3 linked regions of the Xenopus tropicalis genome follow. The protein of the gene in region 1 interacts with the protein of each later gene in a biochemical or structural test. Links are inferred from orthologs where the notes say so. Each region holds a gene or a part of one and is shown in the gene's direction. Other genes may lie near its edges.

Region 1 (4,164 bases):
GAATACTATGGGGAAAGGGAGCCAAGTAATATACAAAGCTTGTGCGAGGTCTTGTAACCCATAGCAACCAGTTGGCAGGCATCTGATTCTATAGGTCACTAGAACTATTGCAACTTTGACTCTGCATACCCTGTGTGGGTAATTGGTTGCACCGGTACTGCTGCCCATAGCAACCCAACCACAACTTGTAGACAAGACAAAACTGTTAACTGATTGGTTGCTATGCATTACTGACCCCATGTTGGTAAATCTGATTCTCTATGTAATGGGAGGTTTTAACCAGTGCCTTTATCATTCCCCCCCCCCCCCCCCAGTACATCAAACAGCTGGCAGAAGCCCTCCTGTACTGTCACTCCAAGAACGTGATACACCGGGATATCAAGCCAGAGAACTTGCTGCTCGGTGCCAACGGGGAACTGAAGATCGCTGACTTTGGTTGGTCTGTGCACGCGCCGTCCTCCAGGTACAGGGGTTCAAGGGGAGAGAAGGGATGGAATTCTGCTGCGTTAGGGTGTACTGTCCTTGCAGGAAATTATTGGGAGATTTGCACTTGGGTGCCTATTGCATAAAGCAGATCCCTTGCAATGTAAGGCCCACGTGTCTTCTGGGACTTTTTTCTCAGAGTATATAGCAAGCCTGCCATAAAGCATGATGCAAGCGTAGTTTTTCAGTATGTCACAATAAAAATAACTTGTATGCAGGGTGACTGTTACCCCAATGTTTCTATATATCTGTAACCTTGTTATGGGCTAAGGGGGTCCAGCCTGAAGGCCAGTTAGGGGGGATTTGGGGTGAGTGCTTATTTGTGCCCTGGGTACCCCTGGAACTATAGCGGGGTGACTGTTACCCCAATGTTTCTATATATCTGTAACCTTGTTATGGGCTAAGGGGGCCCAGCCTGAAGGCCAGTTAGGGGGGATTTGGGGTGAGTGCTTATTTGTGCCCTGGGTACCCCTGGAACTATAGCGGGGTGACTGTTACCCCAATGTTTCTATATATCTGTAACCTTGTTATGGGCTAAGGGGGCCCAGCCTGAAGGCCAGTTAGGGGGGGGATTTGGGGTGAGTGCTTATTTGTGCCCTGGGTACCCCTGGAACTATAGCGGGGTGATTGTTACCCCAATGTTTCTATATATCTGTAACCTTGTTATGGGCTAAGGGGGCCCAGCCTGAAGGCCAGTTAGGGGGGGGATTTGGGGTGAGTGTTTATTTGTGCCCTGGGTACCCCTGGAACTATAGCGGGGTGATTGTTACCCCCAATGTTTCTATATATCTGTAACCTTGTTATGGGCTAAGGGGGCCCAGCCTGAAGGCCAGTTAGGGGGGATTTGGGGTGAGTGCTTATTTGTGCCCTGGGTACCCCTGGAACTATAGCGGGGTGACTGTTACCCCAATGTTTCTATATATCTGTAACCTTGTTATGGGCTAAGGGGGCCCAGCCTGAAGGCCAGTTAGTGCAATATCCTGGCATTTCTGAGATCTGGATCTTTCCATTTTGCTTCTCTTCAGGAGGACCACTCTGTGCGGAACCCTGGACTATCTCCCTCCTGAGATGATTGAGGGCCGAATGCACGACGAGAAGGTGGACTTGTGGAGCCTGGGAGTCCTCTGTTATGAGTTCCTTGTAGGGAAACCTCCATTTGAGACTGACACCCACCAGGAAACCTACAGACGTATTTCAAAGGTATCTTTCTATATCCCCCTTAGTACTCCCACCTCCGTGCCCAACATACGGACAGGCAGGGTGCTCCCATCACTGGGGTGAGGTGCTTCACTATTATAAATATCAGTACTGATTCCAACTAGACTGGCTATGGTCAAACTGGTCTTGTTACCACTAAATCTGATGGGGGGGTCTAAATACAAACATGACATATTTAGTGCTGCGCTTCATACCCCTTCCCAGTATAACCCCCCCTCCCAACTGCTTTATTTTCTGCAGGTTGAATTTCAGTATCCTTCGTATGTATCGGAAGGAGCCAGAGATCTCGTATCGAAGCTGTTAAAGCACAACCCAAACCACAGGCTGTCCCTGAAGGGGGTTCTCGAACATCCGTGGATCATAGATAATTCTGCTCAAAAGCCCAAGAGGAAAGAGGGGCCGGTTACAGGGGCTCAATAGGAAATCCCCTGTGGATCTTTACTTTCCCAAATGTGAGAAGGCACAGCAATTTGCACCTGCTGGATACCCCCCTGCCCTGTTTAATGGGGGGGGGGGGGGGTCACAATCTGGCAACTCACAGCTCAGTATTTGCTTATTGACTCCAACACAAGGCAATGTACCATGGAACACTCACCGCCTTGCGTGCCTTTTGTGAATGGGACTAGACTGCCTGATCTGGAACGACGGGTTCTTTAAAGGGGCCACGAGGCCCGGTGCTTTATAACTTCTATCGTCACAAACCACTGCTCTGCTACTGGCACAGGTTCCCTTTACTATGGATGTTTAACCCCAGATGCGGCAGTTATAAAACTGTATACGCACTGACAACTAAAATCTGCCGGTTCCGACACCACTGATTGATTATACAGAGATTGTAAGGTTTCCTTGGCCGGTGCAATAGTGATGTGAATGCCTTGGGTATATTTATTAGGCTGCTAATATGGCTGTCCCATTACACAGCTGCTCTGAATACTGAGAGAATGAATTCAGTGTAAATACCTATTCTGTATCAACTTATATCTCGTCTGTCCTTTTATGTGTTAACAACACTTTTTAGAAAAGCATAAAAATCTGTTCTAAGATGCTCCCTTTTCTTTCTGTGTTTTAAAATAAAGCTGATTGAAAAAGTTACTGCCAAACGGTGCCTTTCTCAGTTAGGGAATGGGTGGCAAAATGGGCTGGTACCCCGAAATCCATAGATTCCAATGGGGGGAAGAAAGAAGGGCAAAGACATGGGGCTCCCCTAAGCAGGAAGATGGTACATTACTAGTCTGACACTAGCCCAGATGGGTCAGTAAGCATAGAGCCATGAAGGTTATTATAGAATAGGCTGCCTACAGGGCTACTGGCACTTTATTGTGAGTTGGAAGCCTGCAACATGACTGTTACCCCAATGTTTCTATATATCTATAACCTTGTTATGGGCTAAGGGGGCCCAGCCTGAAGGCCAGTTAGGGGGGGATTTGGGGTGAGTGCTTATTTGTGCCCTAGGTACCCCTGGAACTATAGCGGGGTGACTGTTACCCCAATGTTTCTATATATCTATAACCTTGTTATGGGCTAAGGGGGCCCAGCCTGAAGGCCAGTTAGGGGGGGATTTGGGGTGAGTGCTTATTTGTGCCCTGGGTACCCCTGGAACTATAGCGGGGTGACTGTTACCCCAATGTTTCTATATATCTGTAACCTTGTTATGGGCTAAGGGGGCCCAGCCTGAAGGCCAGTTAGACTTCTGGATCACACCGACAATAGGATAGGGATAAGATCTCTGCTTTCTATCACAATCCTATTACTACTTCCTACCTTTTAATCACTTAGCCACTAGGATTTTTTTGTTTTTAATTCCTTTGGGGGGGGGCCAGAATGGTAACCTAGGTACTGTATAACCATAAGGAACTGGTTGGCATTTTTATTTGGTCCATTAGGCTGCTGTAATAACCTCTGCCAACCAATAGGTGGAACCCATACTTCTGTGAGCTCAAGGTTTCCCAGTTGGGCCGAGCCAAGGGCTCCCAATCAGCAGCCATAATCTGCCCCACAGCCATATGGTCGGAGATAATCAGCCTGCTGAATGCAGAAATAGTGTAAAGAGCCCAGCAAGGCAGCCCGGGTATAAGCAGCTCTGCAGGGTATAAGCAATGGTTAAATGTCCATTAAATGTGTACTCTATATACACCCCAAGCTTCCCCTTTAATTAAAGGCCCAGGCAGCTGTTTTGAGGTCATTAATAAGAAACCCAAGGGTGAAACGTCTATATATTTAGATGTAAAAATAATTTATTTCCATATAATTCTGGTTCCCTGTGCCACAAACAGGCAGCTGTTGGCTCCTCCCTAAAAGGTTCTGCTAGCCGACTGCTCATGGATTGGGTTTCTATCAATATTCTAGAATTAGAAGATTTCAAGTAAGAAAAAAATTCTGCTCTCGTCCTAATGGATCTGGGTCGGAGGCTTGAAAAGCCCGACCTTCCTGAGATATCGGACAATGAAAGGTACCGAGACTAAG
Region 2 (4,087 bases), on another chromosome or scaffold:
TTTTTAGATTACTGGCTTAAAGTCACATTTTGGTTACATAAAAACCAGGTGTACTGCCAAACTGAACTCTGAACTCTGTAGGCTGCCAGGCCACATAGGGGCTATCAGATAGCCAATTACAGCCCTTATTTGGCACCCCAGGAACATGTTGCATGTGTTGCTCCCCAACTCTCTTTACATTTGAGTGTGTCTCAGGGATAAAAAAAGGTTTAGGATCCCTGATGTAGAACATGGTCTCCCTTTATAGCAGTTCTCATTTTGATGCAACTCACAAGCAGAAATGATCATATATAAGAATTAGAAAACAACATATTATTCTCAAGCTCAGCATGATAGAAATGCTACTTTTTTTTAACTGTGGATGCACTGGATCCATAAGGTTTGAAACCTCTGGAAAGATCTGTCTGACTTCTGAACTAAATTTGAACCCTAATTATTTTATATATTTTTTATATATAAAAAAACCAAACTGCATTACATGGGGGGGGGGGGGGTAGGCTCTTGGGCACATACTGTTAGGCCTTGTGGTACTCTGGCCCTGTGCATTAGGAAGTTGAAAAGGGGGGGGGGGGGGGGGTGGCAGAAAACAGCAGGGGGCATGTCTTGGGCATCCATACCTTAGGCCTGCATCAAATTGTTTTTTTTTATACACAATTTCAAAAACAATCACATTCTTATTGTATTCACATCAGTCCTTGCCCTAATGCCCCTATGACAATCACAGACACTATGGTCAGTGCTGTCAGGAGCCAATCAACCTTCGTAAATATTTTCAGAGAAGGTGAGTTGCCGCAAAAACATCACTATAATCACAGCCATAAAGCACCAGGACTGTCGCTTAGATAAAGAAATAATCTAAACGCGCATTTAAATGACCCATTGCAGCTACAGTAGTTTTTTCCGTAAATGTTCTCATTTTTGCGAGCAGCATGTTGGGACCGAAAGGATTACGCTTCTAGAGCCCCATTCAGTACAAATCCGGATCTGCGTACTGAGCTTTAAGCAGACAGTACCTGCACAATAGTACAACAAACGCAATTATTTAGTATAATATCCCACTAGCGCATTTGTGAGTCCTCCACTACCATAGAGCTACTTTCCTTCCCCAAACAGCCCCGCCCCCTAGGTGTCAAGCTAACCAATCAATGAGCGAGCCTGGGTTCGCAAGCCCCTCCTTCTGATGTCACAGCCTCTCAGCTACGGCCGTTAGGTTTTTGAAACATTTGAACTCTTTGGGCGGGAGAGGAAGGCACCGCTTGTGCAGGACGGGGTGGGAAAAAACGCAAAGGAAAATAAGAGCGGGTTACAAAGCAGCGCACGGTACGGGACCCGGAATCGGTAAGTGCCGGCTAATGTTAACCCTTTCCGTGCCCACGGCATGCTTCTCATAGGTTCCTGTCAGACTGCCCGGCTGGCCGCTGTGAGGCTCTATCTCCACTGCTGGAGGTTCCAGACTGGCCTCTAACAACCTCTGATGCGCTGCAGCTGCACAGCTCTGTCCCTCACCCCTTCTCTCTATCTGGGTTCCCTATAAGCCCCGTATTTGTCGCGAATAACTACGCACTATCCAAGGCTTTCTCCCTCTACCAGCCGGACATAATATCCTCAAGCCGTATGGGGCCGGCATGCCCCCTTTGGGTTTAAATGACCAGCGCTGACCCCTTCGGGTTTAAATGGACCGGTCCCCCCCCCTTGTGTTGAAATGGCCCAGCCTGACATATTTAGCTCAATGCAGAGTTGGCTGCTATAGGAAAGCCTGGGGCAATGACTGGGGGTGGCATCATAATTTAAAATTACGTTGGATATTGTAGAGGTTGTGTTTGTTTTCCTATTTATGTGTGTAATCCTAACATAAGGGTCAGTTATGGGGATTGCTGTACTGCAGTGTGGGGTCTGATACCCAAAATGCTTAGGAATTGGTTTTTGTTTTATTGAAACCAATATAAATTCATGCAACTTGGTTACCATCAAGTACAGAGTATTGTCTTATTATAGAGAGGCAGGAAATCATTTTTTTTAAATCTAATTATTTTGCTTTCTGCTTAAGAGGCCCCCAATCTTGTTTTGTATCTTAACGCAGGGGTATCACCTAAAAAATACAAATAAATCTTAAAACCACTAGTTTAAATTTTTAATTTTTTGCTTATTTTGTCACAACCCACCAAGACTTTTATTTAACTCATTCCATGCCAGCTGCAGGAGTGCTCCAAGTCTGCTTTTTGTTTCACTGACTTAAACAAAACCTGGAAGCATATAAATACATTGATAGTACTCTGTTTGCCAGCAATGTACATTCATTTTTTTTGTTGTAGTTTTCATATTATTAGCAGTTTTAGACAGCATTGCACTGGCTGGCCACCAAAAGGTTAAGTGACTACTGCTGGCAGCATCTCCTGCACGGTGTTCTTGTCAGCTCATGTAGAATTTTCTGAGGAGTGTCATTGGGGATGCTTTTTTCTCTCACAGAAATTGGCATTTTGGTATCCCCTGGTCTGTTAGGGTGAAGACACACAGAGCTACTTGTAGCAGCTACTTGTCACAGCTACTAAAATAGACAATGTTGATCATTTACTGATGACTGTCTGTGTTTTATCAGAAGCAATTCTCAGTATTGTCTATGGCAGGGTATTTTCTGGCGTTTAGTAGCTGTGACAAGTAGATGCTACTAAATTGCTCTGTGTGTTTTATACCCAAGGCTTTACTACACTGCATTGTGTGACAGGATCTAGTTGTCTCCTGTTTGGTATATGTTTGACCCTCTATGAGAGTAAACTACAAGTTATGTTTCTAATAAAGCCAAGTTGTCTGCTGATGACTTTCATTGTAATGTTATCTGCTATTAGTAAGTCCTCTTTATTTTGCAGGTTCCACCATGAACGACGCGGAGTGCCTGTCCCACCTCTTGCAGGTGTGTGCTCGCAAGACGGAGGAGTTTGTTCGGACTCTTGACAGCAAGCACATGGTTTGGCTTCTGGAGATTGAAGAAGAGGCAAGAAAAATGTTCAGCAGGTGCGTTCTGTATGAACCATAACAATTCGACACTTATTACTCTATCGCTAGATATGGAATGCATGCTCAGTCTACTGATTTAGCATCATATAATCATATATAATATCTTTTTAAACAATAATCCCTGCCTTTCCTAATGCCCTATTACTTACCAGTGTCAAACTCTAAAGTCCCATCACATGTTTGCTGCAACCATTGCATTGTGTTTGTGGAGTGGATCTATAGGCTGGATGCACTGTTTCCATGGGTTGCGTCAGCCAAACGGGTCTGTTTCCCTCTTAAGCTCCATGTCATGGCTGTTTCTTCTGGTAAGTAATAAAGGTCCTGGGGAGGCAAGAGTTTAGTGCCACAAAGGTTTTTGTGATGCCCATTCCTGTAAAAGGGTGGCAGGAGTCCAGTTTGTATTTCCTGATTGGTTGGTCCAAGTAGCAAATGTTGACTAGCAAGTGAACTGGATAAATGCTTTATGGGCCTTAGTTATTTTTTTTTATTTATAACTATTTAACAAATGCAGGCATATCTGCAAGTCTCTCCCCAGTAGTGCCCTTTAGCCTATCCTATCACTGCAAACAGTCGGTATTGATGATGCACTTGTACCCAGAAATTGAAAGTTCGCCCTAGAATTTTTAGGTCACAAGCATGTTAAGTTTTTAACCATATTGTTTAGGTTGTGGTTATTGTTTGGCAAAGAAAGCTAATCTGAAACAGCTTCCGGGTTAACTTGATTTTTTTGTTACTGGAATGCCTTCTTGCCAGGCAACCCAGATTAACTGTGTAACCCTTTAACATTTATAAAATACGTAATACATTCCATACCTCTGTTCTGCAAGACTGTATCCAGAAAATGTGGAATATATAATAATGTTTGCAAGAAATCCACTTCCTCCAGCCCAAAAGCTCTAATTAAATCCTACAAATATTTCTTCTGAATTGATTTAAAATATTGTTTCAGTCCAGACTGTGTGCCTGTAGGGCTTTTGTTTGGTATATGTATAGATAGGTGTGCGCAATACATCTGGAATGCAGAAAGTTCTGCTTGAGGGAAGAAACAAGCCTGCTTCTATTGTTTGTCTTGAGT
Region 3 (3,957 bases), on another chromosome or scaffold:
GTCGGCCGGCCACTCCTGGGAAGGTTCACCACTGTTCCATGTTTTGCCATTTGTGGATAATGGCTCTCACTGTGGTTCGCTGGAGTCCCAAAGCTTTAGAAATGGCTTTATAACCTTTACCAGACTGATAGATCTCAATTACTTTTGTTCTCATTTGTTCCTCAATTTCTTTGGATCTTGGCATGATGTCTAGCTTTTGAGGTGCTTTTGGTCTACTTCTCTGTGTCAGGTAGCTCCTATTTAAGTGATTTCTTGATTGAAACAGGTGTGGCAGTAATCAGGCCTGGGGGTGACTACAGAAATTGAACTCAGGTGTGATAAACCACAGTTAAGTTATTTTTTAACAAGGGGGGCAATCACTTTTTCACACAGGGCCATGTAGATTTGGAGTTTTTTTTCTCCCTTAATAACGTAAACCTTCATTTAAAAACTGCATTTTGTGTTCAATTATGTTATCTTTGACTAATAGTTAACGGTTTTTGATGAGCAGAAACATTTAAGTGTGACAAACATGCAAAAGAATAAGAAATCAGGAATAAAATAGTTTTTCACACCACTGTATATATATATATATATAGTATACAGGGAGGAGCACACCCTATACAAGTCCAAATGCTCTTGGTGCAGGTCAAAAAACAAAAATATAATAGAAAGAGTGCCGCACACATAGGGACTTGATACAAAAGAAAAAGTGGTTTTATTGAAAAATTTTTTTTATATATATATATATCCCACTTACACCATTTTCCTACCCCTACTGCACATTTTGGAGGACATTCTACCACATGGTATTATTGGGCCCAGTATATTGGGGCATTCCTGCATGGCCCAGTTAAGACTGTCTAAAATGTGTATTTTGAAATATGCACTTCTATTCACCAAAACCCCCGATACTTTTTGAAGAGTATCTAGACCAGTAATTCCAATAAAAAAGCCTGCATTGTTCTTGGCAGAAAAGTAATACAGATGCTATAATGCTCAACATGATACAAGTAATAGGTCAGAACATGCCCAGTAACAAGTAGTAGCGCATTACAATGCCTGCTTTAGGGCATAACAAAACTGAAGCATTCTTCTGACATGAGATTTATTCAAGAGTCGATCAACCTCCAGCTCTTTCACTTTTTAAACCCCACTCATTCGGTCGGGGGGTTGGGTTGACCTTAGGTCGCAGCATCCGAGTAGCAGACGCACCGCTCCCTGCCCTGCTGGCTGCGTTCTGTGGCAGCTCCCCGTGTTTGCCTGTGGGGGGAGCGTGTGCGCCTTCTCTCTGGGTTCCATGTCTTTCCCACGCCTACAGACGTAAGGTCTCTCCTCCTACTGTCTCTGACCATTCAAACAGCTCAGCTAGAGATCGGTGGAAGGGTAACCGGGCTGTGGAGACCAGGGGACCAGAAGCTCACCAACTCCAGCATCCAGTCCCCATTCCCCCGGCCCCGTCACCGCGCTACACAGGGCAGCTCTCCGCACACACAGCCCCAGCCCCGGGATGGAGTGAGAGCGGATCTTCTGGCGCAGGAACAAGAGGGGTATGTAACGGTTTTAGAGGGGAGGGCGGTCTCTGGTTTAGGGAAGCCCAATCTGTACTTGTGATCCAAATGCTGAATCAGCCAGGAGCCAAGCCCAATGCTCGCGTTTCTTGTGCCGCTCATCTCACATGGGCGCTTGTGGCACAGAGCTGTACTTACCCGAGCGAAAATAGAGGAAACCAGAGTGGTGTCTGGCCAGGAAATCACTGTGCCATGCTATTGTCAGGGAATGGGATACAGGCTCTTAGAATGCATGCTACGTTTAGAGATCATGTACCACTGCCAGGGGCACCTAATGAGCATGTTTGGTGATGAGTAGAGATCTTGTGCCACTGCCAGGGGCACCTAATGAGCATGTTTGGTGATGAGTAGAGATCTTGTGCCACTGCCAGGGGCACCTAATGAGCATGTTTGGTGATGAGTAGAGATCTTGTGCCACTGCCAGGGGCACCTAATGAGCATGTTTGGTGATGAGTAGAGATCTTGTGCCACTGCCAGGGGCACCTAATGAGCATGTTTGGTGATGAGTAGAGATCTTGTGCCACTGCCAGGGGCACCTAATGAGCATGTTTGGTGATGAGTAGAGATCTTGTGCCACTGCCAGGGGCACCTAATGAGCATGTTTGGTGATGAGTAGAGATCTTGTGCCACTGCCAGGGGCACCTAATGAGCATGTTTGGTGATGAGTAGAGATCTTGTGCCACTGCCAGGGGCACCTAATGAGCATGTTTGGTGATGAGTAGAGATCTTGTGCCACTGCCAGGGGCACCTAATGAGCATGTTTGGTGATGAGTAGAGATCTTGTGCCACTGCCAGGGGCACCTAATGAGCATGTTTGGTGATGAGTAGAGATCTTGTGCCACTGCCAGGGGCACCTAATGAGCATGTTTGGTGATGAGTAGAGATCTTGTGCCACTGCCAGGGGCACCTAATGAGCATGTTTGGTGATGAGTAGAGATCTTGTGCCACTGCCAGGGGCACCTAATGAGCATGTTTGGTGATGAGTAGAGATCTTGTGCCACTGCCAGGGGCACCTAATGAGCATGTTTGGTGATGAGAAGAGATCTTGTGCCACTGCTAGGGGCACCTAATGAGCATGTTTGGTGATGAGAAGAGATCTTGTGCCACTGCTAGGGATACAGATACTGCCATTGCATGGTTTAACGGATCTCTTGGCACTAACTGGGAGACATAAACTTTAAAGGTCATGGGGATTGGTAAAGGGCTTGTGCCAGGGGTTTATGCAGTGGCTGTGCCAGGATGAATACACAATATACTCTTGGTACTACTAATGTGCAGCACTAGCTTCTACTGGACTGGGAAACTGCCTCAGTGGTTCAGTGAAGCCACACAACTGTTGTCACTATGGAGTTTCTATGCTGATTTGCAGTTGCCATCATACTTCTCTCCCTGCTTAATGAATAACACAGTGTATAGCACTGCCAAGGGTAGTGGTGTGTATTTATAGTGAAATCATACATCGGATATTTAAAAAATATAGCAGCTGATGTAACCAAAGAGTTAAACCCATAATCTGCCCTTTTTGTTGGCTGGCATGGGAGCTGTAGTCCAGAAAGGGAGTTTGACAGTCCCTGTATTCGTTCTGCAGCCTGTAGCATTATTTCATTACAACAGTGCATGTGATCCATGGGGGCTGACAGCAAAGAACCCTTGGGTGCTGTGCATTTCTCTCTGGGAATTAGCTGTTTTTTTCTGGCTAGGCTGGCACAGTTAGTTGCCTGGGCTTGTGGATGAGCTCTGGTGTAGTTAATTTTTCCTTTAACGCTCCCATCTGCTTCCTTTTATTGTCACTTTCAACAAAGTATGGCCATGAATTTCCAAGGGAAAGCAAACCACTTTTCCAAATGTTTTGCTTGTATCCAGCCCATTAACCCTTTTGCTGACATCATTTCTTGATTGTTGACCCATCTAGTTAGCTGCTTACTTTTTCTAGAAGCAAAAGGTAACACATTTAAGGTGACTTTCTGTGAAAAAAAATAACTTTTAACCCATAATAATGCATATGAGGGGACATTTTATGATCACTCCAATGTGTGCAAGAGGTTGTATGTCATCATATCAGCCATATGGTATTTGAGATTTTCTGCAGTTCTCTGGATTACAGGGGGGGTTTAAACTAATGAACATATCAGACCATTTCTGTGTGCAGCTGAGCCTAATATTTGTTTGCCCCAGACACAAAAGCTTCTCTCTTATATGTGTTTAATATATGGGTTACAGCAAGAGCTAATCTCCCTCCGTAAATAGGGTCATAGGGCTTGGGTATAATTATACTGAATGCAATCCCACTGAGTACTGTCTGCACACTAATGTTTGTTTCAACAGAGCTGTAGGCAGGGTGTGAAGTGTTTGTGTTAGTGGTAATGGACTTGTTGTGGCTCCTAACACACCTCAGTTGCTAGGGGAG

Evidence for each region.
Region 2: the proteins of aurka (region 1) and incenp form a complex in vitro, tested with the Homo sapiens proteins (3 studies listed by BioGRID and IntAct, with this or other methods). The link is inferred for Xenopus tropicalis from reciprocal best matches to the Homo sapiens genes AURKA and INCENP.
Region 3: of the proteins of aurka (region 1) and nin, one has a biochemical effect on the other in vitro, tested with the Homo sapiens proteins (2 studies listed by BioGRID). The link is inferred for Xenopus tropicalis from reciprocal best matches to the Homo sapiens genes AURKA and NIN.

What each region holds. Positions count from the first base shown.
Region 1 is NC_030686.2:6,094,004-6,098,167, forward strand, and holds the end of aurka (aurora kinase A), read left to right. Parts: intron 1-314; coding exon 315-463; intron 464-1,508; coding exon 1,509-1,683; intron 1,684-1,941; coding exon 1,942-2,121; 3' UTR 2,122-2,793; downstream 2,794-4,164. Other genes in the region: protein FAM210B precursor, read right to left, coding at 4,089-4,164. UniProt on the Homo sapiens protein: Mitotic serine/threonine kinase that contributes to the regulation of cell cycle progression.
Region 2 is NC_030680.2:22,838,897-22,842,983, forward strand, and holds the start of incenp (inner centromere protein), read left to right. Parts: upstream 1-1,287; 5' UTR 1,288-1,338; intron 1,339-2,864; 5' UTR 2,865-2,872; coding exon 2,873-3,009; intron 3,010-4,087. UniProt on the Homo sapiens protein: Component of the chromosomal passenger complex (CPC), a complex that acts as a key regulator of mitosis.
Region 3 is NC_030684.2:96,223,227-96,227,183, forward strand, and holds the start of nin (ninein), read left to right. Parts: upstream 1-1,157; 5' UTR 1,158-1,529; intron 1,530-3,957. UniProt on the Homo sapiens protein: Centrosomal protein required in the positioning and anchorage of the microtubule minus-end in epithelial cells. May also act as a centrosome maturation factor.